3 linked regions of the Caenorhabditis elegans genome follow. The main gene of each other region encodes a partner of the protein of the gene in region 2 in a complex. Each region holds a gene or a part of one and is shown on either strand. Other genes may lie near its edges. The genes, in order: sdc-2, sdc-3 and sdc-1.

Region 1 (9,380 bases), on a different chromosome or scaffold from region 2:
AAAAAAACCCACTTCAATGGATGATGTGAAATATCTGCATGTTTGTTCAATTGGCACATCGTAATGGATAGTGAGTACGTCAATCAGTTTCTGTAATATACGAATTTAAAATTATATTACTACAGCGACTGCGCACCCGAAATAAGCGTATCAAAATATACTAAATCATTTTTTAAACGCAAATGCTGAATGATTTCATTACTTTTTTGCAAGAAACTAAGTATCAAATTATTTCCATACCTCGGCTTTTCTCAGTAGCATCGATTTGATATCTAGGCGTTCGAATTCGGTTCGTGCTTCTTGGTACTTTTCATTTAGTGGATCTCTAGAAATTGTTAGAAGTGTAAGCTCGTGGTCGTCTAGGAGTATTTGGAAATCTTTTTCGGTTTGCTCATTCTCTTTGGCAATGGGCAGCGGCCCAAACATATCTTTGAGCGTCGATACTCGTTTAATTTCTTCGATTTTTCTTTCCAACTCAAGTGCTTTTCTGGTACGTTCTTCTTGTAGTTTTCTTTCATTTTCTTTCTCAATTTCTGCTTTCAATTTTTCAGCTTCTCGGAGTTGTTCCAAACGTTTCCGTTCTTCCTCTTCTTCTCGCTTCAAACGCTCCTGTTCACGTTCTCGTTCAGCTTTACGCAATCTTTCCAACCGCATTTTTTCCTCCTCTTCTTCCCTCACTCTTCGAGAAATAAGAATAGTCTCCATTTCGATCCTCTCTTCTTCTTGTTGCTGTCGAATTCTTTCGGCTTCACGTACCTTCTCGAGGCGTAAACCTTCTTCTAACATTCTGTCCACTTTTTCCTGCAATGCAACACGTTCCTCACGTCGTCGTATCATACCTCTTCTATCTTCCTCTTCAAAACGCTTCCTTTTTCTTACTTCATCTTCACGCCGCAACCGCTGAATTGTTTCGGGGTCAACTTGTTTTTGAGTCGTCCTTTTTTCAAGCCTTCTGGTGCTAGCCATCATTCTTCTCTGTTCGGCATATTTATCGGCAAGTTTTCTTCTTGATTCTCTTCGTTTTTCTTCTCGTCTGGCCAATGCTGCCTGACTTCTTTTGTCCATAGGAACTGTTTTCAACGTCTTGGCCAGTTGTCTTTCCCTATTTCTCTCGTATTCCTCTAAACTTTCATTTAATTTACTCTGGCGAATGCTTTGTGAAATTTCAAAATGAAGTTCCTTATCAAGAGGATCCAAATCCATGTAGTCGTTGTACATTTTATCAACATTATTCTGCACATCTTTCCTTGCTGATTCCAAACAGAGTCGTCCCGACATTTTCTGATGTGAAAGCATCTCGATCGCCAAGTACGCTGGGCTAGGAAGAATACCGTTATCACTAGGCTCAAGGTTCTCCAGTAGTTCTCGGCGAGCAATATTAGCGTCATATACAGCTTGTGCAATGTCATTGGCGGTCCGTATGCTTGCACTCTGAAAGAATACTTATTCAGTTGATATGTATTAACAACGTTTTGCCTATGACGTATTTGACTTTTAGATTTTAATTTACTAATTAAAACAAAATTCCTTACCTTTCTTATCACGCATTTAAAGAAAACAAAAGTATCTTACCTCAAAACCTGTAGCACGGGTGATAACATCTTTCACAACACCAAATACTTCGGTAATCAGTTGTTTGTCCCCTGGCCCATAGACTTGTGGAATATTGTAGGTTCGGAATCTGTGAGGGAAGCGAATTGCATCTGCAAAATTATTAGTTATTGATTATTTCAAACAAGTCAATCTCACTTTTGGTTCGCGCAATTTCCTTAGTTCCACACGGCAATATTTTATCATAGCATCTGTACATTTCTGTAAACGCGCAGCCGTTTGCTTGTAACATTGTGTATCGAACGGAATGTTTATGGTATATTCTATTCATCTTTCTTTTCCTCTTTTTGAGTGGCGGTAGAGAGCGATCAATCATTTTTTGTTGATGGAACCATGAAACATCAAGGAACATTTTTTCACGGTACTGGTAGTCAATGAAAACTGAATCAGATGACGTTGATCGCATTAACTTTGACGGCTTCTGGAATACGTTTTCACTGTCACTTAAATATCCTTCAAATTCGGAGTCGACGCTGAAAAAATTTCATAAGGCAATTTTTGAGCAATGGATAAACATACTCGGAAGGTACACCCTCAATTTCGAAATTGTTTTGTTGCATTGCTGCATCATATCTTGTCTTCGATTTTCTTCCAGGCTTTTTCTTTGCAGGCTCGTTGACAATTTGTTTTTTCGCACGTGGAACAACGTAACTTGGATCGTACAGTTTAATGCGGTAATTAAGTAAATCTTTCCGTGTAAAGAACTTCATTCCGTCATTTTGGTTTGTTTTTACCAGGGGCCTTGCAATAATTTTTTCTGGTTTTTTTGAATCACCAATTATTCTGGTTATTCTAGAAGAACATTCTGATAGCTCATGCCTGACATCTTCTTGTTCCATTTCAGCCACTCCATCAGCATTGCAACCAATGGAAATTTGATAGTTGTTTGGTATTTTGTCAAATTCAAATGTGTACACATCTCCCGATGACGTCAGAACTCCCGATTCCATGTAATCCGAATTGAAAACTCTTAGACGCTCAGAATCGATTTCTTCTGTGACGACTTTTGCTCCACCGGTAATAATTAGAAAAGCTGATAGATAGTCTTTATTACTGGTTGCTCGACCGTGCTGAAAGAAAATAATAAGGTACAGTTTGACGTTTGTGGCTTACATCGTAAAAGGTCCGTAATCCAAACTTTACAGCAAAAGATTTTGCATCCATGTTTGACTGCTCGATCTGAAATGGAACACACTTTTTATAATAAAAATTGCAATTTGTAACTTTTAAAACTTACAAGATAAACAATTTCTTTTAGAGTGATTGGTTGGAGCATTGATTTGTTCTTTGAAAGAAAATCGAAAACCGGGCGATTGCATCGAAGTATCTCAGAAAGATGTAGATTATAAACAATGGTCTTGTCAAATGCGACTCTTAGTCTACTTTCCCACCTGCAAAATTTCAAATTTAAACGTACAAAACTTTGATTCAAAAAACTTACTGTTCGTATTCCGTGTAAAGTGGGAAACATATTAAATTAAACATATCGACCAAATAACGTTTTCTCGGACAGCATATTCCACTTTCATCATATTCAGGAAACTTATTCTCCCAGACTACAAAGAATCCATGAATATGACGGCCAATACGATGAAATTTGTGAAGCTCTTTAGCCGATATTGTTCCAACTTGAAATTCAACGGGAGGGGCGATGCTGCGGCTGAAAATAAATTTTATAAATATATTTCTGATGATATTTCTGATTGTTTTTAGATGAAAACAATATTTATAAAACTTTGAGCAAGCGATAGCGCTTTAGAGTTTTTAAAACTTGTCGCAAACTCAGTTTTCATCACTTTCCGACTCGAAATAAATAAATTTCCAAAATTTTTTAGAAGGTTTTATGATATTTGGATTTTTAACTACCATAGAAAAGGTGTTCATAATTTCTCAACTGAGCGTACTTCATCTTTAAACGGTTTCAGAATAGAAACAAAATTAAAGAGAAAGAAGCCACGCGTTGCCATAGAAAATGTAAAAAAAATTGCAGCTTAAAGCTACATTTGTGTGTGTTTCAGTTATTTATCAGTCTCAATTCAAATGTTCGAATAATTTTGTTCTCGTCTTGTTCAAATAAAAACTATATTTTTAGAAGCTCAACTTACTAGGTTATATTATGATATTCGTCTTGAGCTTCTTCAAAACGCATCATCAAGTAGTGCTCTTGCTGTTGAACTGTAACGGCATCTTGTGGAAAATATCCACATTCCAAAGTTGGAGGGACGAAGAGTTCAGGAAGATCCGATGAACGGTTCATACGAAGCGAAATTGAATGCTTCTGCATGAGGAACTCTCTGACAAAATAAGATGAGTCGGGGATAACATCATTGTTTTGCCGTTTCTGTAATAAGAATTGAGATGTTCAGATAAATAATTGACTACTTACCGAGTTTAAACGAATACGCAGTTGAACATTAATTTTTTCAAGTTCTGAAGATTGGTTCTTGGGAAATAGTGAATGGTGTTTGTAGAGAACTGGATCATCAGAAATTGATAATACTGGGGTTTTTGGCATTGCAACATAACCGTTCACTGCTCTCTCGTAATGACTCTTAGAAGCTTTCCACCACCCGGTTTGATATTTTAGGCGTTTTTGCTTGCCGGAATGTTTCTTCAATGCATTTTCAAACTGCAACATTTTCACAGATCCATCGTATTCAACCGCAGTTGCTACAATTTGTTCACGAAACTGGTCGCACTTTGGGGAAACAAGTTTGCCAGCTTGGAGATACTGTTCGATCGTTTTTGATAAAGTAGATTCTTTCACTCTTCCAAACTCAGTTTCTTCACCTTCCAAATGATACTGCGGAATTGTGTGTGACATAATGTTACGTGTCACTCGAGTCCGTTTCTGTTCAACTACTTTACCATCATCAGTTACAGCTGGCTTCATGCGATAATTGACAGGTCTTGGGTGATCGTGAACAACTTCTGCTACCAGTTTTGATGTTTTTGCGGTGGATCCACTCTCTATACTCAGATGTTTTGGCAGTTTTCTTCGAGGTTTCTTTACAGCTGGCTTTACAGGTAGAGGAGGAAGTTCAATTATATCGTCTTCTTCTTCAAAACACTCTTCTTCTTCATGACGGTATGCGTTGCGCAAGTGTTCTTCTAATTCCTGTTCGTTTCCATTTTCTTCTATTGTTATATTCAAAAATTCCTGTTCATCCATCTCGAAATCTCCGAGTTCACTAGTACCTCTACTTGATCCAATGAAATGAGTATCTGAAGTAATTCTGATTGCTCCGTCTGGTATCTCATCCTCGTCAATAATGACATCAGAGTCGTTTGATGAAATGTTGCGTTTAACTCTTCCAGGTAAGAAAAACGTGTTTTGCTCGGGAAGTTTCCCAATTTCTGATTGACTATAGTCGCCTGTAGTACTTGCACGTAGATGAACTATGTCATGGATGATAACAACGTCTGGATCAGCTTCATCTGGAGAATCGGACTCGTTGAATGACTCCATTTCACTTTGATTTCCTAGTTCTGATTCATCACTCATAAGTACCGGAAGAGAAAATCACGATTCTGAAAAATAATATATTAGTGAAAATAACGAAAGGTTCTTGAAAAAATTTTTAGACAACGGGCTGTCGCAGAAAAATAAAATTAAAATTAAATGTGTTATGGTAAGCTTTTTGAATTTTTTCAACAAAAAAAAAGTTTTGAAAGAATTAATTTTGAAAATAGTGAAGAGATTGAAAAAAAATTTTTTTGAAAATAATGAAGAGATTGAAGCCTAAAATAACAGAATCTAGAAAAGTAGTCAAAAACAAAAATTGATACTTATTGGTAATTTAGAATTCAAATGCCTTAACCTTTGTGAACTATTCCCTACTTTGTCTTGGTTTCACCAGTCCTGTTTTCTCTAAGTCTCCATTTTCTGTTTAATATGTTGCGAACTGGATGGAGAGAGCCATGGTGGAGAGCGCAAAGAAACGATAGATAGGAATGAGTGGGAAAAAAGGAGAAGACCCAAGAGACATCGACTGAACCTGTGTGGAAAACGAGAGAGTAGAGAGAACAAGGATACACAACTGTGACAGGGGCATGGAGACTCAATAAGAAAGCGGAGGCTGCGTTTAAAGTTATATGGATAAAATAAATTTAAAATATGTTTAGGATAAATAATTTAACTAAAGTTTTTCTAGCTTTGTATAAACGTCAATGTCACGCGCAATTCTGATAAGAAACTCTGCGTAAAGTTTAACCTTGTACAAATGTCGTATACTTTCGATTCGAAAGTAAAAGTGTGAAGCTAGAGGAAAAAAGGAAAATATCACACATATGTTGAAAGAAGTTTCATACAAACATTCAGCAAAAACTCCTACGCAAAATAACATCAATATTAATAAAAATGAAACTAAAGTAAGGTACAGAATAAACAAGTGATTTAGGTATAATTATCGAAAGGGCTCAGGCATCTAATCCGATAAGAGGAAAAGTCAAATTAATAAGTATATGTACAATAACTGCAGATTGTCTTCATCTTCGAATGTGCCAAATTCTATAATGCCGTGAACAGCGCGTCGTTACCGCAGCTCTGACCTCTGCCGTTTTGCGTTGCGCTATGCAGTGATGACCAACGGTCATCTAAACAGCCGGCTGGACAATCGATGATTTTTACGTCATACAAAACGGGGTTGAGTCGCGTAGAAACTGTGCATGAGTCGATATTTAGAAAAATTTATGAACAATTATGTTGACGGGAGAAATGGAAGATGCATACTATCAATGGGAATACATAATGGGTATGTGTAACAAATAATTTTGAACAATTTTAACTGATCCATCGAATATATGTTATATTTTTTAATAATAGGTTGTTCAAAGACCATGTTCCAACAGCAGGAATTTTTTAAAATCAAACTATAAGTAAAACAGTTTAAGTAGTGCATTTTAATAATAATATAACTTTCATGCAATACTATTTTTATGGGTCGTTTTGAGTGCAGGGCTATCAGTGATACAAAACTAATAGATCTTACAAGTAGAGATGCGCCAGAGACATTATGTGAACAACACATTATTATAACCGAAATGCCTTAAATTTTTGAAAATTGTGAAAGCTGCCTTCTAAACCATTTCAAAAGAAAAACATCCATATTGAAAATGCTTCAATTTGTAATAGTTTTTTTTGCCTTTCGAGGTTTCCGTTAAAAATTGCCAATAATGTGTAAATGCTACACTAGGAGCACTAGGAGCTCCATTTTTTCGAAAGTTATAAAATTTTTGTGCCATGCTAAAAAAAATTACAAAATCGTGAAAACTTTTTTCCAATATCCAAATTAGTAACAATTTCAGCTTGTTCTACTTTTTTTGTGATATTCAAATATTTCAGAACTATCAGGAAATGATTTAAACCCTTTTCCTACGGTTGGCGTTTTACTTACAAATACCAAATACACATTGCCATTTCCAGACACTTTTTTGATAAAGACGACCATCTTAAGAGTTGAAAGACCTGTTTTTGGTTTCATAGATGATTTTAATTAATTATTTAAAAACACTTTTGGCTTAAAACATTATTTTTTCAAGAGAGACGGAGAAAGATAAATTTCCATGGCAACATTGTCAGCGCACGAAGATTATACAACCAAGCATAGAGATTGACGAAAGATTTGTTTCCTCTATTTTTATTCACAGTTGAACAAAAATTGTGCATGTTGCTGTAGAAATGGACAGATTATGGAACTATTAGATGAAACGCAGACTGTAGAAAAATAAAAATGGCCCGAAAATAAAAATCAGTAAATATGTTTAACTGTATCTGAAACAAAAAATAAATGATATGTTGAAAAATTTGCCATTAATGTTTTATTAAACCAATTTCAGCCGTATTCTATTATGGCACGAAAAACTAATTTCCCGAGTGTTCACAGGATTGCAAGGAAAAGTTCGATGCCGACCAACAAAACATTAATTTTCGTTATAACTCAAATTCGGTAGGATATTCGAAGATTTGAACATTATTTTTCAAACATATCCATTATATCCAATTCTCGAATTTTTTGGGTATGGCATCACAAAGTCATAGTCCGTTTCTGCGTTTTTCACTGTTTGGAATTGTAACTTTAAAAATGTATCATTTTGTGTCTGATTATTTTTTGCAACTCTTAAAAATTCTTACTTACTAGTTTTGCAATGTAATAATGTGTTATACAAATTACAAATGATATCTAAATAATTATATAATTTTAAATGTATAGAAAACTTTTACTTGTCTCAACATGACAATTTTGTTAGTCAAGCTTCAGTTTCCAGTCAAATAAAACATATCACACTAACAGAAACATTTTGGATAAGTTTTTGATTTAAAATTAAATTTTTATCTTTAATTTGTCATTGTCGTTTTCTCGGGAAATATAGTGTTTATCAAAATTAGAATGTGCGTTTAACTAAAATGTAGGATTTCATCATATTTGTAATTGAGCATTTAATAAGATGTTTTCTTGTGTCTTGAAATAAATTCAGATGTATGAAAAAAACTGTATTCGTTCAGATGACTTAACGTCCTTTCAGAGCAAATATTTTCGGGTACTGGCAGACTGTAAACATTAAAAACATCGACATTCTTTTTCTCTTTGTCACTTTAGCAAATATCATCTGCTATAATTTCCACTGCAAGTGCAATGCTTGTTACCTCCCAACTGGAACACTGACAGGTTAAAAAACTATAAAACGCTTGCTTCAAACAGCATGGAATTCAGTTGGAATATAGACCCATTTCTCTCCCATAATTTTAGTTTAATTTTGAACTTATGTTTCCTTTTCTGACATTAAAATATGTTCTCATGTTCTAAGCGTGTCTAAATGGAAGTCCCCCAATAAGTCACAAAAAATTATTATGCTATCATGTAATGTGTCCGGCAAAGAATCATTTATAAATTTCTCTGCGTTTATCAAAATTAAACGTGCTCCAAAAAGTGTGCTGCGTGTCACATACTATCATACCGGTCGTTTCGAAATTGTTCTCTACCCTCACTTTCCCCTTGTCGTCGTGGTTTATCATCTTACATCAAATGGCAGTTATCATCGGCGCCGTGTTTGCCGTTTGTAGCAGAGTTAAGAGCCCGACTGCTTTTTGAAACCAATCTTCGCGTTTTACTTTTTTTCGCAACAATAATAATAATAATAATGATCTAACAACCTTTTCAAATTTAATTCTCAGCTATTTTAGGTTACCTATTGTTCGTGGATTGGAAAAAAGAACCGAAGAAAAAATGATGGAGACTAGGAATGCCAGTGATAGTAAGTATGACATTAACACATTTCCCAATTCCAGTTTTAAAAAGGTTTGATGGACCAAGTCTTTTCTGCTGTCACGCTTCCTGCTGTTGGACAAACAACTACCATCATGGAGCATCATCAAGAATCTCACACTGTTTTTCACCAAGTAAGAAAATTTTTGAACAGTTATTTTGTTGATATTAGTTATTTTATTGAATTTCAGGAGAGTCATCATGTTGAATCTCACCACGAGCATATGGAATTCTCCTCTTCTGGGGTAAGCAAATTTTTATTTACATTGTAAAGATTACTTTAACTTCAATTATAATCTGATTTTTTTTACTTCTGATTTGATAACTTATCAATTTTTTGCTCATCAAAACTGAAAATCAGTTGGTGCTCTTTGATTTCCGTGTTCGAAAAAGAATGACAGTATCGATTGATTTAAGAACAATTTTGTTGGAAAATGAACAAAAAATATTTTTTCAGGTTATCGTAGGAAACGTTGTTGGTCATGATGCCGTTATTCAACGTCG
Region 2 (9,337 bases):
TTATCTGAAATTTTTTTTTGAATTTTAAAGAAAAATCAACAATACTTACCTGGCTCTTCAATTTGTTGCTCGATTGGCTCAGTTTCTAGTTGAGCTGCTGGTGCAGGTACAGGTTCGTGTACAACTTCTGGACCAACTTCCGGTTCTACTTGTTCTTGTTCCTCTACTACTTCTGGCTCATGTGCAGCCTCTTCTTTCTGTCCTCTTCTCGGCTGAATTCTTTTCTTCAAATTTTCTTTCACTTTCTTCGGACGTCCACGTGTTGTTTTCCCAGACTTCTTTTTAGGTGATTCTTCAGCGACAGGGGTTTCAGTAGCTTCGGGTCCAGGAGACTCCGTTCCGAGTAGTTCGTCTACAGTATAAATATGTGAAGACGATGGGATGGATGATCCTTCTGAAAAATATTATTCGATTGCTGAAGCTTCAAAAAATAAATTAACTTACCCTGTAAAGTTGGTCCCTCTGAAGTCACATTTTCTTCTTGTTGATTAGTTACCGGAACAACCGATCCTTCAACTTCAACTTCTGGAACAATCTGATTGTTAGCTTTTTCTGAAGCTGACACCGGAAGCTGTTCTGGGTGTTCTTCCGGATCTTCTACGAGAAGTGATTCGAACGAAGTAGAAGATCTTGAAATTGTAACCGACTGATTTACTTGCACCTCAACACCACTTTCCAACAGCAAGTCAACCTGAATCTCTTCAAAAGAAATATCTTCTGAACCTTGATCCCCGAGAAGTTGATCTTCAGATAATCTTTCGATGTTGGCGCCTTGAGCTATACTTCCTAGCCGAGCTGCGATCATCTTCTCCAATTTATCATTATAGATTTCTTGAATCTCTTCTATTGTTTCCACTTCTTCCACTACAACGCCATCTCTATCACTTGCATAGTTGAAAGCTGCATCAGGAAGTTTCCGAAGTGCAGACATCTCGCGAGAAATCCTTGACGCTTTCTCTTCGGCCGATAGAACAGGAGCCGCAGGAATATCAGGCTCTTCCACAACAAGTGGTGTTTCTTCTTCTTCAACTATTTCTTGCTCCTCAACTAAATCCTGATCTTTTAAAAGTGAATTTATCTCTACTGTCGACAATGTTGGAATCCTCACATGATCCTCTTCCAAGTAAGCGGACAGATCAAAATCGGGTGCTTCATCATACGGGGGAACGATTCCTGCTCCGGGAGCCGTCACGTCAAATCGATTCAACGGTTGGAATGGCTGTGGTACATTTGGGAAAAGCATAGAGTATTGTTCTCGTTTCTTCCTCATCAGATCTCTCATTTCTGCGTCCGACATTTCTTGTCGAATATTCTCAGTTACTGCTTCAACTCTCTCTGGCTCCTCATTCTCAACTTGATCAGGAGAGTCCACAAGCTCACGATCTTCCGAGTCAAGACGAATTCCAGTACATACTGATTCAGCACCGTCGAAATGAATGTCTATATCTTGATCAAGATCTTCATCATATGCTTCTTGCGGAGCTGGAAGCATTTCTTCAAAACTATTTTCTCTGGATATGGGGAGTAGTATTTGTTGCTCCACTTCTGGGGTAATGCTTTTCAATAAACTTTCCTGACCATGCTCTATACCCATATCCATGCGACGCTGATCTTCTTCCTCTTTCTCTTTCTGTGCCCTTTGTGCAGCTCTCATCTCATGCCACTCTTTCTCACGCTTTTCCTTATCCCTTTTCAATCGTTCGTAGACGGGCTTCATCTTCTCCCATAATTCCGTTCTGTATATCCATGACTTGAGTTTATCTCTGACTATTTCCAGGTGAATGTCATAGTGCAATCTCTTGATAAGATAAGGGCTACTGATGGGATACTCTTTGGATCCTAGAACATTGATTTTTTTCAAATCACGAAAATCGTCGTGCTTCCAGACAGGAAGAAGGCCGAGTTCCTTGTTGCTGGTACCGCTGGTACTTGCATCAGGGTCACCTAGACGCTCCGCTTCTTGAGTTGCTTGCTCGTATAGATCTGGGAATCGTCTTTTCTGCTTTCCAGACCATTCATCTTCCTTTTCACATAATCTTTTTAGAATCAACTTTTCATCTTGCAACTGCAGAAATCCCTTCTCGGGGATCATTCGAGGCTTGTACTTCACATCTTTCGACATCAATGCATCAAGTTGCAGTCGCTCTTCAAAGTTCAATTTTTCCAAAAGCCGATTCTTCTCAAGCATCTTCTCTTCTGGGAATGAGAAATCCTTGTCTTCCAACTCCGCGAGGCGAAACCTTGTGTAAGTCACAAGTGAACGTTGAACTTTTGGCTGGTTTCTTCTAGGTGCAGTATATTTTATTCCTGTGTTTGAAATGGGAAATTTCACAAAGTCAGATGTGCTTGCGAACTCGGGAAGACTGGAAGAAACGTAGAAAGGATGTTTCTCTTTCTCTTTATTATACTCTCGAATCTTCTCTCTCATCTTAGCCAACATCTCCATTTCCTGTTTATCATCCTTCTCCAGTCGTGGTAGATCACAAATATTCGGGTGTTTAGTCTTCCATGAAAATCTACCTGCTAGCGGTTTAACCCGTTGCTTCCAATTACATTCATAAACTTTTTCCCATTGGCCCCTATGTACCCAATAGAATGGATTTGGTAATGGCTCTTCGGTAATTACAGAGGTGTAACATCTGTGAAAACGCTGATGTTCTATAATTGGTCGGACTCTGATAAACTCTTCATGGTAAAGCTTCTTTATTTCAGATGCTGTCCTGTAATCAAAGCAGTCCGTGTCTTTTGTGGCAACTCCTTTCTTATCCATATTAGTTGTGAGGAACACTTTGAATAAGTCAATTGGTGCTTTGGAGACTAATTCCGGGGAGAATTTTCTAAACTTTTTGAAATTAAGTTTAGTTTTCCTCCAGTCAGTGTACATTCGAAGAAATGGTCGAAGTGGAATTGACCACAAATATTGTTCTGTTCGAAGCAGTGCAAACATTGGAGAAGTGATTTCTTGATCATGAGTATTCTCGTTTTTTACAAGAACGGTAGCTAATTGGAACATTATCTCCAGCTCATTTTCTGGGCGAATATACTTTAAACGATGTTGTTCAACTCCAGAATAATCACGAACAGTCTCAATTGTAGCAACTTGAGGTATAAGTTCTTGGCAGACAGTCAAGTTAATCATGTCGTCAATACATTCCTTAACCTGTCTGATATCTTCGAGTGGCATATTATTTCGAAAAAGTTCCAGAACAATTGGCTTCAGATTGATTTCGGCATCGGTGGTGAATGTGACGTCGTCGTGGATAGATGCTCGATTCTCTGGTCTCATAATATACACGGATCTATTGAATTCCTCGTCTGTCACTTTTGATAAATTTTCTCGAAGCATCGTGATGTTTTCCTCGATGTTGTCTTCTTCCACTTAAAATATTATAACTTTTTATTAAAAGTTTTGAACATGGTGCTGTGTCAATGGGAAGTTTTGTCAATTTACCAAAACTTTGACAAACAAATCCGGGTAGTTTTTCCAGAAATTGTTTTAATTTTAAATTTTTCAGAAAATTAAATTGTTCCAGAAAGTTTCTAAAATCGTTGCCTATTCCTAAACACTCTTATAATAAGTTTGATACCGAAACCGCGAAATAGAATGGGAAAAAGAAAAAATTTGAAATTGAATAATATATTCACAAAATTTTTTAATCTCTAAACAGGCCGTAATTTTAAAAAGTGCTCAAAAACTTACGCCATTGCATTTGAAGTCTGTATACATCCCAGAACTCCTGCTCACATTGCGGGTCTGTCATATGGTAGACGTTTTTCCTTTGAAGTAGCTTCTTCACTTCACGAGCGGCATCTCGAATGTTGAACACACCTTGATCTCTCACTAAAACATGTATGAAGTTAGATCTCAAGTTTACTTTGGGGAGCAACATATTTTTACAGCATTGAAATTTGTTTTTCACAGTATTTGAAATTATTGAAAGAAAAACATGCTAACTATAAGTGTGATATTTTACAAAATTTGATAAAGTTAATTAATAAGCAAAAATCAGAACCTTACCTTTTTTGAACTTTAACCATTTCTCAAGAATATTTGAACGTTTGAATGGAGATTTCTTGTAGTAACGTAAACGGAATTGAGATCGAAATTTAAATGGTGTCACAATAAAGCAAAACCGATCCTTTCCAAGATATTTCGCCAACTTTAACAAATCAGGCGTGGCTGGTCGAATCTTCGAATGATGTACCACTGATGGTGGTTTAGAAAATGATGTTTCGGGATCTTTAAGCTCTTCTCTCACTACATCCCTGATACATTTCTCGAATGGAAGAGGAAATTGATAGGCGGCCATATACCGTTTGTAGTGCACGTCCTGGAAGATTAAGAGGTTTTTCAAATTTTTTAGTTAAAAAAAAAGTTAACTCACATTCTCCTTCGAATGCCATAAATAGTTCAAAAACTCTCCACCTCGTTTCCTATGGAAGATTCTTAATAGTCGTCGTCTTTTCCTTCTCGCCTGGTTCTTTTTGTACGTATTGGACATCTTGATCTTTTGGACGAGATCTCTATCAATTAGTCTAGCTGAAAATTTATTTTTCTAGGGAGAACCAAAGAAATATTGAGCTTACGCCACTCCCGAGGATATAAAGGGTTATACTCCCAATTACGGTGATCTGGTACCGGGATCATAAATGGATCATAGAAGTCGGCGGCAACGTGGTAGTCTGAAATAAATTAAATTTAGAATGTATGATGCATGTTGCATCGTAATCGCCCCTTTACTCGCCCTCGCACGATTCCAATTAGTTGTCATAATATTAACACATTTTCTATATATTTTTATGTATTTTTTGGATTTTAATGTCTTTTTTAGTTGACATTTTACATTTAAAAAATTGGAATTTCAACTTTAAACCATTAAAAACACTTTATTTGAAATTTTAAAAATGAAAAATATGTAAATGTTTACCAAAAAATTTGCATATTTTGAGATAATTATTTAACAGCTTCCATCTGGGCGAGGGATTTTAATTGCCTTTTCTGTCGCTTTCCTAGAGTGCGTTTTCTTGTTGCGGTTTTAATGAATATTTTTGAATATTATTTGTGTTAAAAAATGACTTCAGTTGACGACTTTTTCAAAAAAAAATTAGGTGTAAAATAATTTAATATTTTATGTATATTTTCATTCAGCTTTTGTAGAATCGAATGCTATTTCTATTTTGTTTCTATCAGTTTTTTTCAACAAAAATAAACTCACTGAGATCAGGTCTTTCTAACTCTCCATCCAGGTACAATCTACGTGCAGCGACTACAAGTTCCTGAGTGAACGTGACTTTTCCACGAATAGCTTTTCGAATTCGTAGCTCCACGGGTATGCTCTTGTCATTGACAAATGCAATCGATACACAGTTGGAGAATGGGCCATCTTCTTCAGTTGGGAGCACTATTGGTGGTTCGTCAGACATTTCTAATGCTCTGAAAATTAAATTTTAAGATTTTTAAACTTTGACAGCTTATGTCTCGCTTGTTTCACAAGATATCAAAAAGTTTCAACTAAAAAAATTGTATAATATTATTGTCTAATTTTTTGTAGTTGATAACGTTTTGATATGACTAGAAATGAGCGATAAAATTTGAAAATTTCAGAACTTTTCGAATTTTTACTTTCAAGATTTTTATTTCACATTTAAATAATATTTTTCCGTTTTTTTTCACTTCAAGTATTATATTTTAATTTTGATAAAAATTATTCACAATATTTTAAAACATAAAAACTCACTTTTTGAATAAATATGCAGAGGAAGTGATTAAATGTGATTTGGGAATCGGGATCCCCGGAAACCAAAACTTCTCATTTACCAGTGGCTCTTGTTTTTTTTCTCTGAAATTGAATTTAATCTTGAAAGCAAATAAAAAAAGAATTAATCAAAATGAGCGCGGGAAAATCTCACATTCAAAATTATAAGGCAACTAGCGTAGTTCGCAACATCTCGAGAGGGGGAGATGGAGAGAGTGTGTTAGAGATTGAGACGTAGAGATGGAAAGACACATGAAGAGGAAAGAGAAGAGGACAACACATGGGTGCATCTAGTGTTTTAGATAACTGATTTCAAAATAGGGTTATGGTAACTAGAAAAAAAATTGAGCAGAAGAAAAAAGTCTCTACATACTTTCAAATCAGAGGCCAAAAATTGAAAATTTCTTGGAAAGTTTCTTGAAAATGTCCATTTTTAAAAGATTGCAAAAAGTCAAATTTTTAAATAAAATCCCGTTTTTGAGTTCTGGCTCAAGAAAAATAAGTGTTAATCAAATCAGAAATTTTAGATTTTTAATTGCTTCAAATGATGAAATCTGCTAGATATCAGGACGAGACCCACAGAGAAAATTAACATAACTTGTCATATTTTATGGGTTATGATTTCTGGAAAGTTTAACGAGTGAGTAACTATGGAAACAGAAACTAATTGTCACAAGAGTCAGTTTTGAAAAACCTGACAAAACTAATTAACACAAAAATATGCATATACGAATCGATAGATGTAAGACTAGCATACGGACGCGCGAGCTGTTAAAAATCCACCGTATCTGGATGGCAAGTGACCTGACCTTTCTTCTGAAAACTAAACATTCATGCGTGTGAGCAAGTGGAGAGAGAAGAGTTGGTTCAGTTTATGATTTTTTGAAAGTGTAATGGAGTGAGTAACTATGGAAACATTTTGGAGATTCCCACGAGAGTGTAATACCCGAGATGTTACTTGCCAACATTTTGAAATGTAATATTAGGTCGGCAAATAATTTACTATTGACTTATTTTGTCAATTTACGATTTTTTGTAAGTTTTATATGCGTGACTTATAGTGAACCGTGAGTGTATAAAAGCATTCAATTATTAGCTACTTCGGCCTTCTAGTATAAGGATTCAAAAAAATCACTCAGTTGTCACCCAGTTGTCACTCAGTTTTTTTTAGCAGGCGGGCACTGGCAAAGTTCTCATGGTCTCTCTCGACTGCTTCCCTACATTTTATAGATAGTTACTTAAAATTTGGGTCTGATCTGTCCATAAGACGTCTTTTGAAGAGCATTTGTCGAGTTTCCTCCGAGAGTCGGTTGGCGGAGTGGATGGATGGTTGAATTACTGATTGATCCTGGGCTGTTTTGAGAGAGTCGACAAGGATCTTGTAGTCCTCATCAATATCTCCATGAGCAGGGGCAGTAATTGTTGCGCTGACAGCCAGAGCTGTAGCTTTATCCAAAACTCTTTTCGGGGGTTTTCTCCTTTTCACTTGATCTAGTTTCGCCAAATTAATGTTGAAATGGATGTTACTTTGGAGAAAACTACTTCAGTGATTCGGGGGAGGAGGTGCTTGTGACGATGAAGCCGACCCCTCCTGAAACAGAATTTGGGTTTCGAGATCCTAGAAAGATCTCGACCCCGTCGGCGCCAATTGCATGCTTTTCCGTTGCTCTTTTTGTTTCAGAGAGTCCGATAATATCGAACTTGATTCTCTTCGTCTCTTCGAGCAGTTCTGCAAGCCTGTCGTTGGAGGAGACAGACCTGCAGTTGAAAGTCGCAATTCTGGCGTCGATTCGCCTTGTTTTGGGCCGGAGGCTAGCTTTTAACCGTTCCGGGTGACAGGTACTCCGAGATTGGATGGCCCCTCCCGATTTGCTTGTGGATCTGTCGTACCACTTGCAGAGATCAGGTGCGGAGGACTGGGGCGCTTGGTATTGCTGTTTAGAGCAAAGGTTGTGTCTCTAGATACTTTATAATGACCTTTTGGAATCGGCGTCAAAACGAAAATATTACAAAATTTCTAATCTTAAAAAATGACAAATAATGAAAATTTTCGTTAGTTGGGAAGAGCTGGCGTATATCACTACTCATCAGTTCTATCACTTTTTCAATAATTCTTTTTTTTTTAATTTTATTCGAAAGAGGAAGTTTTCGATGAAAACTTCACATTTATAATTTAAAAAAAATCAAATTTCAACACGTTTTGCATACAATGGAATTGTGAACTTCTTGAATGTTCACATTTCGAACCATCGTCAAACCGTCATCTTCAAGTTTTTACGCGTTTCACTTTTTCTTAAACCATGCTCTTTACACAATGCTCATTTTCTTCATGTCCAGATCTAGCTACTGTATGTCTTTTGCCCCTCTCTACACTTATTTGTTCTTCCCTCATAAGATATCAGTTTACGTTGCGAGATCCTGTGAGACACCACTACGGCAAAGATCATCTTCAAAGGAGGTGATGAATACGGTGTAAGAGGCGGAAAAAGTTTGTGTGCGCCGCACGGACATGATAGCCAGAGTATGACTACCGTTCCATTTTTCATGCGAGTCTTTGACTTTTGAGTTTGAACTTTATTTTTATGAAAGTTGATCTCGTTATTTGAATATAGAGCTAAGTATTGTTTACTTGAAAAAGTTCTATTTTGTTCAAAAACCCAGCCTAAGAGTTTTTGTAAAAACTTGAACATAACGCCTTTTGTCCCTCAAAACTCTAGAAACCAAAAAATCCGGGTCCTACAACAAAGTTTTTTCAGTGGATATACAATGCGCTTGATTGTTTTTATTAAAAAACTGTTTCTTATATAATTAAAATATTATAGAAAAACACGACGGAAGCTTATTTGCTGTTAAGTTCATAATTTTTGTTTCCAAATCTAGACTACTCTTCACCTATTTTTTTTTATTCTACAAAAGCAACAAATAAAAAATTTTTCAACAAATTTGATTTCTAGCTTTCATCATTTTCTCTTTGAATCTCAAGATGGTAATCATCAAGGAATATGATATAATTCCCTCCAGAGCATTTGTAAGCAAAATAATCCAAATTTCCATTTGTGTTGCTTGGTTGAAAAAGCCTTGCAACTTCGAATCGATGTGCCACAAATTGCATAGAATATTCGATTTTGCAGTAGTTGAAGTTGGCAGAATTAAGAAGGATCTGAAACAAGTTTTAGACTACTTGTTATATGAATAAACTTACATTTTTAATTTTAACAGCATCCGCTACAGTAAAAGTCTCCAGATTGATTTCAAATTTTCGAAAATTGAATAAGTTCTCAATTGAGGTGTAAAAGCCTGCAAAAACAGCACTGGCACACAATTCTTTGGCATTTTTCCACTGTTCCAACTGTGCAAGATAATTTTCCAAAAGTATTCCATGATGAAAATTCAACTCAATTTTCTCAATATTGTTTGCATTCAACAATGACAAAATGGATTTCATTTCTTCACAATGCATACGAGTAAAGCTTATTGTTTTTGTATTGATTGGTTCCACTCTTCTCATAAGCTCCGTTAAAAACATATATAGACGATCTCGTTCTTCCTTTTTATAAAGAATTTCTATGATTACACTAAAT
Region 3 (12,301 bases), on a different chromosome or scaffold from region 2:
TTAAAAACTTAAAAATTTTAAGAATAGTTTGGTCGAGCCTTTTCCAAAATACCGAATTTTTTTCGATAAAATTGGCCAATTTGGCCAACTGCAACAATTTAAAACTCAGAAGAAACATTACAACTTTGGTTTTAAATAAAAATACATTTACTGTTTCTGAAAGACTAAAGCCACATACTTTTTAATATTCACTCTGAGCAAGTTACCAACACATATTCTCCACATGTTTCTAATTGCCTTTTTCAGCAAAAAAGATGTACTAGATTACAAAGATGCCCGTTGTACTAGCGAACAGGAGTCCGATTTCGATCTTAAAGGCGAAGAAGACGGAGATGGTATTTTCAGCGTAGGTCTCCAAAATAAATATCATTTTATAAAAAATTATTTTAAACTGCTCCAGGACTATTATGACATCACTATGTTTATAACCCACAACTGCTCCAGTCTAAACAACACCATTCGGAAAGTCCAAAGAATTATCAAGAAGGTTCCCGTAACAGAAAAGTAAGCTACTTTTAGGCAATCTACATTTACAAAAATTTGATTTCCAGCCATGTCGAACTTAGCAATTGGAAAGTCAACGTTACCAACATAGGAATGCTTGTGGACTCTTATCATTAAGAAATTTATGATAAGTGTTTTCCTGCCTGCTCAATTGATTCTGCTTCTGCTTTTTTCAAGTGCTTTACTTGATTTTTTGGAAGGATTCACAATAAAAAAGTAAACTGTGTAAGTTTTCCGGCAGATTCTTAACTTTATTGAAACTCTAAGAGCAATGAGTTAGTTGTACAAAAATGTTCCCTGAAATATCCACTCACCACGTTTAGTACTAATTATACAATAAGACACGCATCAAGCGGCGCCACAGACTCACAAACCCTGTGCTATACTTTTTTTCTTGATTCATAATCATGATTTTCAAGCTTAATTTCAAAAATAATTGAAAAATTCAAAAAAAGTTTTTAGGAACTCAAAATGAAAAATAATGTTTATAGCTTGAGTTTTAAAAAGAAAAATAGAGTTTTTAATGAAAGATCAAATTTTATGATATTTTTCCACACGTAAAAGAAAAAAGATCGTAGAAAGGAGTTGAGATTCAAATTAAATATTTCGTAATACAATCATGTCAACGATATCCGTGATGCCCAAAACTATATCTTCCATCACTAGTACTCGGCTCATTCAGGTCGTCCGTATCGAGTTCAATGAGCTCGTGTTCACGTGTTTCCGAGTTTCGCCGTTTTCTATTCAGTCGGTAATTATGTCCAATAGACTCATCAATTTCTTCAATGTGATGGATCATGTGTTCAGGTGCTGTACAAATGTTAAATTAAAAAAGGTGAATTTCTAACAAATTACATACATTTGACTTGCTTGACCATTCTGACTCGAGCACTTTTTGCAAGCGAATCGGGGTCAAAACTTTGCTCCTGCGGCCAAACAAATTTGTAAATGCCATTCGTGTCTTCGCAGTGATAAATTCGGTACCGGTGTGCCTGAAAAAAAATTGTGTGAAAAATCTAAATGTTCACAAAATTCAGAACTACATAGTTAGGCACGAGGTGTCAGAGCGTCTCACTTCGGATTGATCTACGCAGATCTACAAAAAATGCGGGAGTAGAGAAGCACAGTTGGGCTCAACTGATCTCGCATGGTTCAGAACGTGCTGACGTCACATTTTTTGGGCAAAACGTTCCCGCATTTTTTGTAGGTCAAACCGCAACGGAGCAGTCTGACACCACGTGGTTAGGAGGGACTGTCTTATATCGAGGCTCAATATTCCGCTTTTCTTCACTTCTCTATTATACTTCTCTGCCTGTCCCTCGTGACAGTCAAATTTTGTCTCAAAAAACCGGGGAACAAAATCAACATTACTTAAACTTTTCAAACTCACATAGCCATTACGAAGAACATAAACAGTCTGCATGTTATCCTGGCACGTCGGTTTCCGATCGAACACAAATCCTCCCACAAAAACAGTTCCGGCCGGGTTCATTATCACGTCGGGACGACCTCCGTGTCGCGCCATCAACGTATCGTAGTCTAGCGCAACACCTTTCTGAGCCTCAGTCATTTTTCGAATCGGAATTCCATTTCTCTTCTTTTTATCGTCCGCCAAATACTTTTCGCGGAAACCAATTGCACTTATGCGAAAGTCGCTGAGCGAATTTTCATATTTTGGTGAGAACGCGATGATGTTATTCTCCGGCTCATCTGGGCACACATCATCATCCGGGCCGCTCTCGTGTACCACACGAGTCAGATATTTCCGCTCCTTCATTTTTGCCGGATTAATGGGCACTTGCCTCGCCTTGAACTTTTCATAGTCATACTCGCCATGCTCACACCTCGTTTTGCACATCTCTCGGTGACGATTCCGTTCGACGAGTCTTCGAGCGTTGAGCTCCTTCGGAGTCAGTTCATAATCTTCCGCCTCTTCGTCAACCTCGACGAGTCTCCCATTTTCGCGGGCGGCCGCCTCGAGTGCCAGATCTTTACCCATATACTGTTGAATAAATTCTCGTTCCCTTCGATTCCTATGATCCACACTTTCTTGACCAGCAGACTCCTGGGATGCTTTTGCTTTCGCAAGCTCATCTGGAGGAGCAACAAAATCCGAAATCGAATTGACCATAATACCCTTCGATCGCAAAACAGCACGGTAGTCACCAAACAGAATCGCGTCTTGCTCGTCTTGAACTTCCTTGAATTTTCCCGTTAGTTCCTCTTTGGTGATTGGGTCTCGCTGCACGACATCATTCAAGTTTATCTGAAATGTGTATATGTATATATTTTTTTGGTTTCATTTTACTCAGATAGGCACCAAATAGGTAAATTTCATAGTGTGCCTTCTTAAAAAGTTTCTTAGGAAATTTAAAAAAAAAGGTTTAATTCCGCTATAATCTCAGAATTTACCAATTGTTACTAGAAAAATATTTAAAATCGTATCGTCTATCTAAAAAAAACTATTTTAAAAAATGATCAAAAAATTCTATACCTCTGTCATTCGCAACAGCATATTATCTGTAATAATACGAGCAGACGGAAAGTAAACATTTTTGATTATATCAGGTTCTGGAGCCATCACTGAGTCCTCGCCCTTTTGCACAATTTCAGCAACTGAAAGTTTTTCGGACAAATCAACGTCTCGAATTGTTGAGCAATCGTTCCAATTGTTGATTGAGTCCTGAACCTTGTAGCGTGTGTCGTTGCAAAAGTAGGTGTGGTAGTCGAGTATCTGGAAATGATCATTGAAAAATATGAACCTCAGAATTTTTTGCTATTTTTTTTATTTTCTGTTCATTATACTGATAAATTATTCCCCAAAAACTGTACCTTTGAGTATTGCTCCTCAGATATGAACGGCACTTCAATTTGCATTGCTTCAGCTACACTTTTCTGAAAAAATATATATTTAAGTTTGTTAACCAAAAAAAGAGCTAAGCTTTTGAATCAGGGGTGTGCGGCAAACAATTTTTTCCGGCAAATCGGCACGCCGGAAAATTGCCGGAATTGAAACTTCCGGCACGTCGGCAAATCGGCAAATTGCCGATTTGTCGAATTTGCGAAAAAATTTTGGCAAACTGTGGTTTCGCACTTATTCTTTCGGAAATTTCAGAATTTCAATTTCAAATGGCAAAATTAAACGCATCCTATGATCTTCTTACATTTATTTTGAAAAGTAAGCAAATTCTATGAAAATGTATAGAAAAAACGGAAAAATTTTCGAAAAGACAGTTTTAAGTGTTTCCGTCTTATGAAAAATCCCTCTAAACATTTCCGGCAAATCTGATATCCGGCAAACGGCAAACCGGCAATTTGGCAAAAATAAGAATTTCCTGCAAATCGGCAAACTGGAAAATCGCCGGAATTAAAAATTTCCGGCAAATCGGAAAACCGGTAATTTGCCGATTTGCAGAATTTGTCGGCAAATCAATTTGCAGAACGGCAATTGCCGCCCACCCCTGTTTTGAATATTAACCGCCTTCAAACATATGCACATAATTGAAAAATTAAAAGCTGTGGCAAAACCAAAAAAATGCATACACCTTTCTCCCACCACTTTAAAAAATTGTTTTCAATCATTTTCATTAAATTCATTAAAATTAATAATATCTAGAACACAAATAATCTCCCTTACCATAACTCGCCACGTATTTCGACAGCCGTTCTTCTTCCATTTATGAAATTCTTCATTGACTAATCGTTTGTTACGCGGCCAATAGTGGCAATAATCAAGGTGGTCGTGAAGTAGCGTATAATGACAGCGGGTGCCTGAAAAAGGTGTTTTGAGGAGAAACTAAAAAAGAGAGAGAGGAAGAGAATTAAACTTTCAGATTTTCACAAAAAAGATCGAATAACTTTTTTTTGTATTTTTCTTCATTCCTATTACGGTGAGCCACTTACCACAATGAAAGCATACAACGACCGGCGTCGAAAGTGGCGGCAAAAAGTTTTCCTCGCTGTACTTATACGCCTCATGTCTAGCCTGAGCATTTTTATAATGCTCCTCGAGCCCGGCCATCAGCGTCTTCAGAGCAGTGGTACCAACTTGGAATTTTATAGCAAAATCTTCTCCGATACGATCAGGCGTCTGCTTCGTCTCCACCCAGTCCTCGTTCGCTCGTTCCTTCCATCGAATCAATGTTCGTATTCTGAGCTTTTTTATGATGCTCGCACATTTTGCAGCAAATTCTGCGTCGAAGCACTCTCGGTCCTTTTGATCTCTATACAATTTCTGGAGCGGAATACAATCATTGATCCAGTGCTCCTCATGACTACGATTGTATACTCTGAAATTAACTTTCATTTATGCAAACGTTTACCGTCTGTTGGAATTACTTAGCCAATTCGGAAGTGGTCAAAAAATAAAGAAAAATTGTGAAGATTTTTAAAATCCAATTCTCACTCTCAAACTAATCAACATTGTTTTATTCAATACAAACTCACATAATCTTGCAAATCGCACAATGATAACCGTCTTTTCGTGACTCCGAATGTCGAAGCAGATGATACTTCAACCGTACTTCCGTCGAGAACGTGATTGTCAACTTTTTACTATCACACTTGTGACACACGATCGCCTCGTTCGATTCCACATTGAAATCGGCCAGCGGATGGCTAAAAACACCTTCTGGCGTTTCCGAGTCCACGCGGAGTTTGGGGAATGAGCGAGCCGTGAAATCGTACTGGAAGAAAAAAAAAGTGAATTTGGATTATCATAAAGCTTTCCAATAAATTTCTCATTATTCAAAATTTTGAATTAAAAGTTTGATCATTGCTAAGTTTCTTAAAACTGGCTAATACCCAAACGTCTAGCTAAAAGTGCTGAAAAATCTGAAAAAAATTTTTCGAAAAAAAGCACAAATCAAATTACCGATTGAATAACGGATCCCTCTGTCGTATATCTCAATATGACGCGATACACCTTTTTCGTGTCTGATTCCGATTTTTTCGTACTGCAAATCATGTTGAACGTCTTTCCTGTTGCGTAAAAGCCCGGACACGCCGTAGCGAGCAAGTTCATTATGTGCACTGGGCGTTTGGGATCTTTTATCTTCTGAAAAAAAAGATTGAATTTCAGTGAAAAAAAATATAAAAATTTTGGTAGGCAGAAAGGAAAGTAGGCAAGTAGGTATGTACAACGTAGCTCAGAATCTGCTATTTTCGGTAGGCCCTGAAAACGTGCCTACCTGCCTCCAAAATAGGTTCTAAAACGACCCGCCAATAATGTTTTGCTAGAAAATAATACAAATCTCAAAGTAAAATGGAAAAAAAGTGCTCACAAATGAATTTTCTCCTGAAATCGGAATCGCATCATTAACCAAATCCAAATTGACAAACGTTTTGAGGGGCCAAATCTCCTGTGGAAAGTGATAATACTTGTGCATACTATTGGCGATTCCGTGTCTCTCCGCGTGCTCTTTTGCCAATTTTTCAGTGATCAGCGACGAGCTGACCCTCAAGCATTCAATATCGGCTTGTGAGATTGTCGTTTGAAGGACGAGCCAAGCGAGTGTGGCGAGCTCCGTATTTGATAGATATTGGTCGACTGGTGTGTAGGCAATAACCTCTTCACAATGCAAACGCCAATGCTTGAATAGATTATCTTGTTCTCTGAAATTTCAGTGTTCTTTCAATTTTTTGAAAAAAAATGTCGAAAAACCTACATGAAAACTGTTCCACAAATATGACAAAAGTAGTCGCCGTAGATACGTCCATCGATTCGAAATCGCCCCCGATGCACATTTCCGTGAGCTTCGAGAAATTTATTTGGTACAGGCAGGTGACATAAATGACACGACGACATATGATCCTTTTCCATAACAATTTCCTTATTTGTGATGCACCAATCCGACGGCAGAAATACATAACCACCAGTGCAGTAGTATTGCGACGCTCGGTTCAGTGAGCCCAAAACATTGAGCACATTGCGATGAAGGTACGGCGTTTCTGCTTTCTGGAGCTTGGGGATTCATTAGTTTCAAAATACCAACTTGTGCTTACTTGTATCTCGATATCCGTGGCAGTTGTCGATGTCTGGCTACACGATGTCCGCCAATGCATAAACAGATTATAGGTGTGTCCAAACAGTGTGAGGCACACTTGACACATGTAGACTCCCACATTCTTGTGAACACCTCGGTGACGGACAAGCTTCATCACATTGTCGAACGACCAGTCGCAATGGGCGCACGTCAGCTTATGCTTCGGAAACGGTGCTGGTCCCGTCTGATCTCGTTCTGAAAATTATATAGTAAAGTAAGGCCCAATAATGGATTTTATGTATACACGTAGTGTCAAGCTGCCCCATCACGGTTTGATCTAAAAAAAATACGGGAATTTTTTGTCCAAAAAGTGTGACGTCAACACGTTCTTAACTATGCAAAATTGGTTGAGAACTCTGCGTTTCAACTCCCGCATTGTGTGTAGATTTAAGTAGATCACACTGAAATGAGACACCCTAACTCCAAATAGCTTTAAAAAAAATTATTTTAAATCGTAGGTTTTGTGAAAAAAAAATCGTAGGTAAATTTTTCAATTCTCAACATCTGGAAACTTTGTAAAAATATTTTTCAAAAATGTTTCAACCCGGTTAAATTAATTTTTGGTTTTGGCAAAAATCTACTACTGTCCCGCAACCAACAATACGAATTAATTCTAGTTACCATGCAGTTAAACTTACGTGAAACTAATTTGATTGATGAATGGATTCCATCGCATACTTTCTTGTCAAAATTGATAAAGTCCAGTACATCATTGACTTTATCCACTGGTTTCACAGCTGTTAGTTTGGGCAGTTGTAGTTGGAATGTTCCGTCGCCTGCTTCGTAGAAATTGACGACTACCTCCAAATCATCGGCTTCTGGATCCAAATTTCGTTCTTTACCAGCAATTTGTTGCGCTTTCAGACTGTTTCTAAACAAGAATTTGTTGGATTAATTAGGGCTTGGAAAGCTTTGGAAATGTGAAAATTTTTAAACAGTTTTATAATGATACATGTCCTTTTTTCCTACTGGACATTGGGACAAGCCACCAAGGAAATAAAAAAAAAAAAAAAAAAAACAACAACAACTTACCCTCTGGCATCTGTGATTGAAATTCCGTCCTCTTCGATTTCAAAGCTTTCATCTATATCTTCTTCATCCGACATACTGCTGAAAATGTTCCAAAGTTATAATTGTCATTTAAGGGAAATAGAATCGAAAAGTAAAAGAGATCAAAATTTAGAAGTCAGTTCAAACAATAACAGCAAATCAAAAAAAAAATAAAAGCACCGCGGAAAAATCTCCGTGAAAAATCCAATCGAACAAATTTATAAAATTGTTTTGATCGAATTAAAAAGGTTTTTACCTGTGCAGCACGGCCTCCTCCAGAAAAATTTTCCCGCGTTTTTGCGCGAGTGTTTACGGACAACCGTCTCACACCCCTCCCACCCTCTCACCTCCACACACTCTTTTTTCTGTCGTCCTTTTCACGACAACACTGCACGGCAGAGAAGACATCTCTTGCTGCGTCTCTCACTTCCAAAGTGTGGCGAGAGAGAAAAAGTGCGTTGCGTGCGTTCAATCAGGTCAACTCTGGAATAAATGAAACAATGACTAACGGGAAATCTCGGGGTATTCTGAACGTATAAAATCAATACTTGTTGAAAGGAACAAATTTGGTAATGAAATTTTTATTAATGATTTTACAAAACTATTTATGGCGGTCATATAGCGGTAATTATATATTGATTTTTATTTCAAAAAACAGAAGAAAACAAATTCACATCTATTTCGGAGAATGTAAGCAAAATTAACATTTACAGCATACTGTGTACCTCAAAATGGGTTCTTGTTCAAAAATAGGAACTCTAAAACAGAAAGTTTTTCGAAGACCCATATATCATATGTGGCTCCAAAATTATGTTCGTTTTCATTTTTCGGTGACTTTAAAAATTGAACTTTTCCCAAAAACATATTGATTTTAATGAGAAACATGATAAATAATTTTAAAATAGAGATATGTCCTTAAAGGAGGACTAACGGTTCGGATGATTTTGAACGTATGGACCCAAAATAAGCTCAAATGAACGAGTTTTGTAATGAAACTGCTCAAAAAATTTTCAAAACTTTTTTATGGCGGTTCAAAATTTTGGAATTTTTTTTGAGAAGCTTCATTACGAAATTCGTTTATTTGAGCTCATTTTGAGTCTATACGTTCAAAATTGTCCGAACCGTTAGTCCTCCTTCAACTGATTTAGAAAATTGTTCTCTTTTGAATTTCGAAAAACTCACATTAAAATTTTACAAATCCTAAAGAGACACTTTCAGTTAATCGGAAGTTATTTTTGGCCCTCGATTAGCCATACAAAATTTGTTGCGGGGAATCGAACCCCGGCCTTATGGGTGAGAGCCATAAATCCTAACCACTAGACAACAACGGAGGTGATAAGCACTCATTATATATTGATCTTTATTTCGAAGAACAGAAGCAAACAAATTCACATTTATTTCGGAGAATGTGAGCAAATTTATTAATAACAACATACTGTGTTCCTCAATAGAGAAAAGACACTTTCAGTGAGTTTGAAATTATTTTTGGCCCATCTCTTGATGAGCCATCCAAAATTTAGTAGTGGGGAGCAGTGCATAATTATGTACAAAAGGAAATCTCCATTCACTACGTAAGAGCATATTAGTACCCTTATTACTTAAAAAATAAGATGTGAGAGTGCGGATATATGCGAAATGTGCTGCCGACAAAATTTGGGCTAGCGTGGGCCAGTATGCTTTGCACGCAAAAGCAGTCAGCGCACCACTCGAGTCGGTTTAATTACCTCGGTTTGAGGTAAATTTTGCAATTGGCTGCCAGTAACTCAATTTTTTCGGTTAAACCTTAAAGATCTATTCATGGGGACATAAAAAAGTGAAAATATTTGAAAACCGACCAAGTCACTTTCGCGGACGAACCGTTTAAAAATGGGAATTTGATGAAAATCGGTGTTAAGGAACGGGGGTATTCGTATTTCTTGAACAGCAGAATCATTTTATTTTTGAAGACAGAATTAATTTTATTAAATCAGAAACAAAAACAAAAAATATATTCCGTTGCGGGGAATCGAACCCCGGCCTTATGGGTGAGAGCCATAAATCCTAACTACTAGACCACAACGGAGAAGAGAAACTGCCATTAGTTCATGACTTTTATTTTGAAATTGAAGATATCAGTGTTCCATCCTTGTATACTTATCCACAATGGAAATTTCTCAAACGTGATTTTTCAAAGTTTTCCTTTTTTTTGCCTCCCCGTGAGGAAAAAAATAAGGAAAAATGGACGGAAAAACCCGAGTAAACTAAACTTATTTTTTCCATAGGTGGTGGTTTTTTAGAGAAAAAGAAACTAAATTTACGAAAAATAAAGACACGTCCGTGAAAGGGTTAATTTTTCCAATTAATTGGGAAACACTCAAAATCAAAGAAAATGTTTTCTTCGAATTACAAAAAAAATCACTAAATGTTTCAATAAAGCATTGAAACAGGACTTCCTTTTGTTTATTTGTAGCTATTTTTGGCGCATCTTTCGATGAGCCATCCAAAATTTAGTAGTGGGGAGCAGTACATAAATATATACAAAAGGGAAGCTCCATCCACTACGTAAGAACATATTAGCAGTCTTACTCCTTTAAGGAAGACTTGTGAGAGCGCGGACATATGCAAAATGCGCCGCCGACAAAATCTGGGCTAGCGTGGGCCAGTATGCTTTGCACGCAATAGCAGTCAGCGCACCACTCGAGTCGGTTTAATTACCTCGGTTTGAGGTGAATTTTAAAACTGACCGTCAGTAACTCGAATTTTTTGATTAAACCTTAAAGATCTATTCATGGGGAGAGTGAAAAATTTTGAAAAAAAAACACAAAATCAAAGAAAATCTTTTCTTTGAATTACAAAAAGAATCACTGAATTTTTCAATAAAGCATTGAAACAGGACTTCCTTTTGTTTATTTGTATCTATTTTTGGCGCATCTTTCGATGAACCATCCAAAATTTAGTAGTGGGGAGCAGTGCATAAATATATACAAAAGGAAAGCTCCATCCACTACGTAAGAACATATTAGTAGTCTTACTCCTTTAAGGAGGACTTGTGAGAGCGCGGATATATGCGAAATGTGCTGCCGACAAAATCTGGGCTAGCGTGGACCACTATGTTTTGCACGCAAACGCAGCCAGCGCACCACTCGAGTTGGTTTAATTACCTCGGTTTGAGGTGAATTTTAAAACTGGCTGTTAGTAACTTGAATTTTTTGATCAAACCTTAAAGATCTATTCATGGAGACACAAAAAAGTGAAAAATTTTGAAAATCGACCGAGTCACTTTCGCTAACGGACTGTTTGAAAATGGGAATTTGATAAAAACCGGTGTTGAAAAACGGGGGTTTCCGTATTTTCTTGAACAGAAAACATTTTATTTTTGAAGACAAAACTTACTTTTATTAAATCAAAACAAAAGTAAAAAATATATTCCATAATAGAGCCATAAATCCTAACCACTAGACCACAACGGAGATGAAAAACTGCCGTTGGTTTTTGACTCTTATTTCAACAATTAAAATATCAATGTTTCATATGGAAATCTGAAGTATAATCTTTATTTTACCTTTTCTGAAGATATGCTTCATTGCAGTACCAGATACTAATTTAACAGTTATTATAATTTCGCTATTCATCAATTTCAAGAATATGCTTAACATTTTTGATCAGTCCTAATTTTTTTGAATTAAAAAAAAACCTATTTCTAATATGAAATTTTGATATCAATTATAGAAATAACTAGTCAAAATTACCGCTAGGCCTACACTATTTAAAAAAAATAAAACAACCCCTCCGAAGTTTTGTGTATGAATGATTCCATGTTTTATTATTCCGATTATTAATTTAATTGGTTAATGTGATATTGGTGTTGTCGTCCCCATTTCACATCACCTTCTATCAGATATGATGAATTAGAACGGAAACTTCTCGGGGACTGCGCGCCACAATGGCTGCATTGTATTTCGGAAGATAAGAAGACAAAGTTAGAAAGTTCAATGGCTCCCTTTTTTTTAAATCTAAATCGTTCTCAAGTAACACAATTTATTTTTTTCTGCAATCTCGCGGTCAGTGACATGAAAAGAGGGACTCATTTGGATGTGAATCGTACAATAACATTTATTCGTCCCATTAGGCCGATGTATCTCCTTGTTCTTCTTTGCAAGATAACCTCTTTAGTCCTTCCGAATTAACGATCTCGTCTCGTTTTAATCCAGTTATCCACCACCTCTCTGTCAAAACTTTTTGTTTGAATTCAAACAGATCGGTTGGAAAATAAATTTCAATCTATAATAAGAGTATTCAGTTAATTCAAGCTTATAACTGCAGTTAAGTTGCACGCTTACCTATTTTGGAGTAGAACAATTAATTTCTAAAATTCAATGTTATTGTCTAATAAATAATCACTTGGAACTTTTACAAAGCAAGGCAGCACTTTGACTTCTCTCTCTGAACATATATTGAAACTTACACATCAACTTCCCCGTCTCCGTTGTGGTCTAGTGGTTAGGATTTATGGCTCTCACCCATAAGGCCGGGGTTCGATTCCCCGCAACGGAATAATTTTTTTAAAATTTAATTGAATGATTCACATACATATTTCAGATTAATTCTCAATCAAAGAAATAAAAAGTATTTTTCCATTTTCCGGTGAAGGAAAATACTACTTTAAAACCGGAAAAGGAGTTCCTGTGTACATCAAAAGCCCCAGGTTTTCTCTTCATTTCTCT

Evidence for each region.
Region 1: sdc-3 (region 2) and sdc-2 share a complex: the UniProt entries of both Caenorhabditis elegans proteins name them as parts of the SDC complex.
Region 3: sdc-3 (region 2) and sdc-1 share a complex: the UniProt entries of both Caenorhabditis elegans proteins name them as parts of the SDC complex.

Annotation. Positions count from the first base shown.
Region 1 is NC_003284.9:11,518,475-11,527,854, reverse strand, and holds the start of sdc-2 (Sex determination and dosage compensation protein sdc-2), read right to left. Parts: upstream 5,149-9,380; 5' UTR 5,117-5,148; coding exon 3,998-5,116; intron 3,953-3,997; coding exon 3,717-3,952; intron 3,272-3,716; coding exon 3,053-3,271; intron 3,003-3,052; coding exon 2,849-3,002; exon of another isoform or gene 2,791-2,848; coding exon 2,725-2,790; exon of another isoform or gene 2,682-2,724; coding exon 2,131-2,681; exon of another isoform or gene 2,085-2,130; coding exon 1,750-2,084; exon of another isoform or gene 1,704-1,749; coding exon 1,573-1,703; exon of another isoform or gene 1,432-1,572; coding exon 241-1,431; intron 91-240; coding exon 13-90; intron 1-12. Other genes in the region: hpo-34 (ZM domain-containing protein), read left to right, coding at 8,838-8,865, 8,910-9,010, 9,068-9,121, 9,334-9,380. UniProt on the Caenorhabditis elegans protein: Component of the SDC complex that functions in sex determination and in X chromosome dosage compensation specifically in hermaphrodite (XX) animals.
Region 2 is NC_003283.11:15,042,368-15,051,704, forward strand, and holds the start of sdc-3 (Zinc finger protein sdc-3), read right to left. Parts: upstream 5,841-9,337; 5' UTR 5,739-5,840; intron 5,435-5,738; 5' UTR 5,425-5,434; coding exon 5,217-5,424; intron 4,684-5,216; coding exon 4,588-4,683; intron 4,541-4,587; coding exon 4,386-4,540; intron 4,332-4,385; coding exon 4,019-4,331; intron 3,842-4,018; coding exon 3,701-3,841; intron 3,379-3,700; coding exon 445-3,378; intron 395-444; coding exon 50-394; intron 5-49; coding exon 1-4. Other genes in the region: fbxa-82 (F-box domain-containing protein), read right to left, coding at 8,707-8,916, 8,959-9,337. UniProt on the Caenorhabditis elegans protein: Component of the SDC complex that functions in sex determination and in X chromosome dosage compensation specifically in hermaphrodite (XX) animals.
Region 3 is NC_003284.9:16,271,126-16,283,426, reverse strand, and holds sdc-1 (C2H2-type domain-containing protein), read right to left. Parts: upstream 7,665-12,301; 5' UTR 7,655-7,664; coding exon 7,581-7,654; intron 7,420-7,580; coding exon 7,187-7,419; intron 6,744-7,186; coding exon 6,508-6,743; intron 6,467-6,507; coding exon 6,171-6,466; intron 6,118-6,170; coding exon 5,787-6,117; intron 5,561-5,786; coding exon 5,378-5,560; intron 5,190-5,377; coding exon 4,951-5,189; intron 4,794-4,950; coding exon 4,408-4,793; intron 4,276-4,407; coding exon 4,142-4,275; intron 3,400-4,141; coding exon 3,337-3,399; intron 3,239-3,336; coding exon 2,999-3,238; intron 2,771-2,998; coding exon 1,895-2,770; intron 1,497-1,894; coding exon 1,364-1,496; intron 1,315-1,363; coding exon 1,127-1,314; 3' UTR 893-1,126; downstream 1-892. Other genes in the region: F52E10.2 (ACT domain-containing protein), read left to right, coding at 224-346, 401-504, 552-621. UniProt on the Caenorhabditis elegans protein: Embryonic transcription factor regulating downstream genes involved specifically in the sex determination and dosage compensation pathways, or regulating other genes involved in the coordinate control of both processes.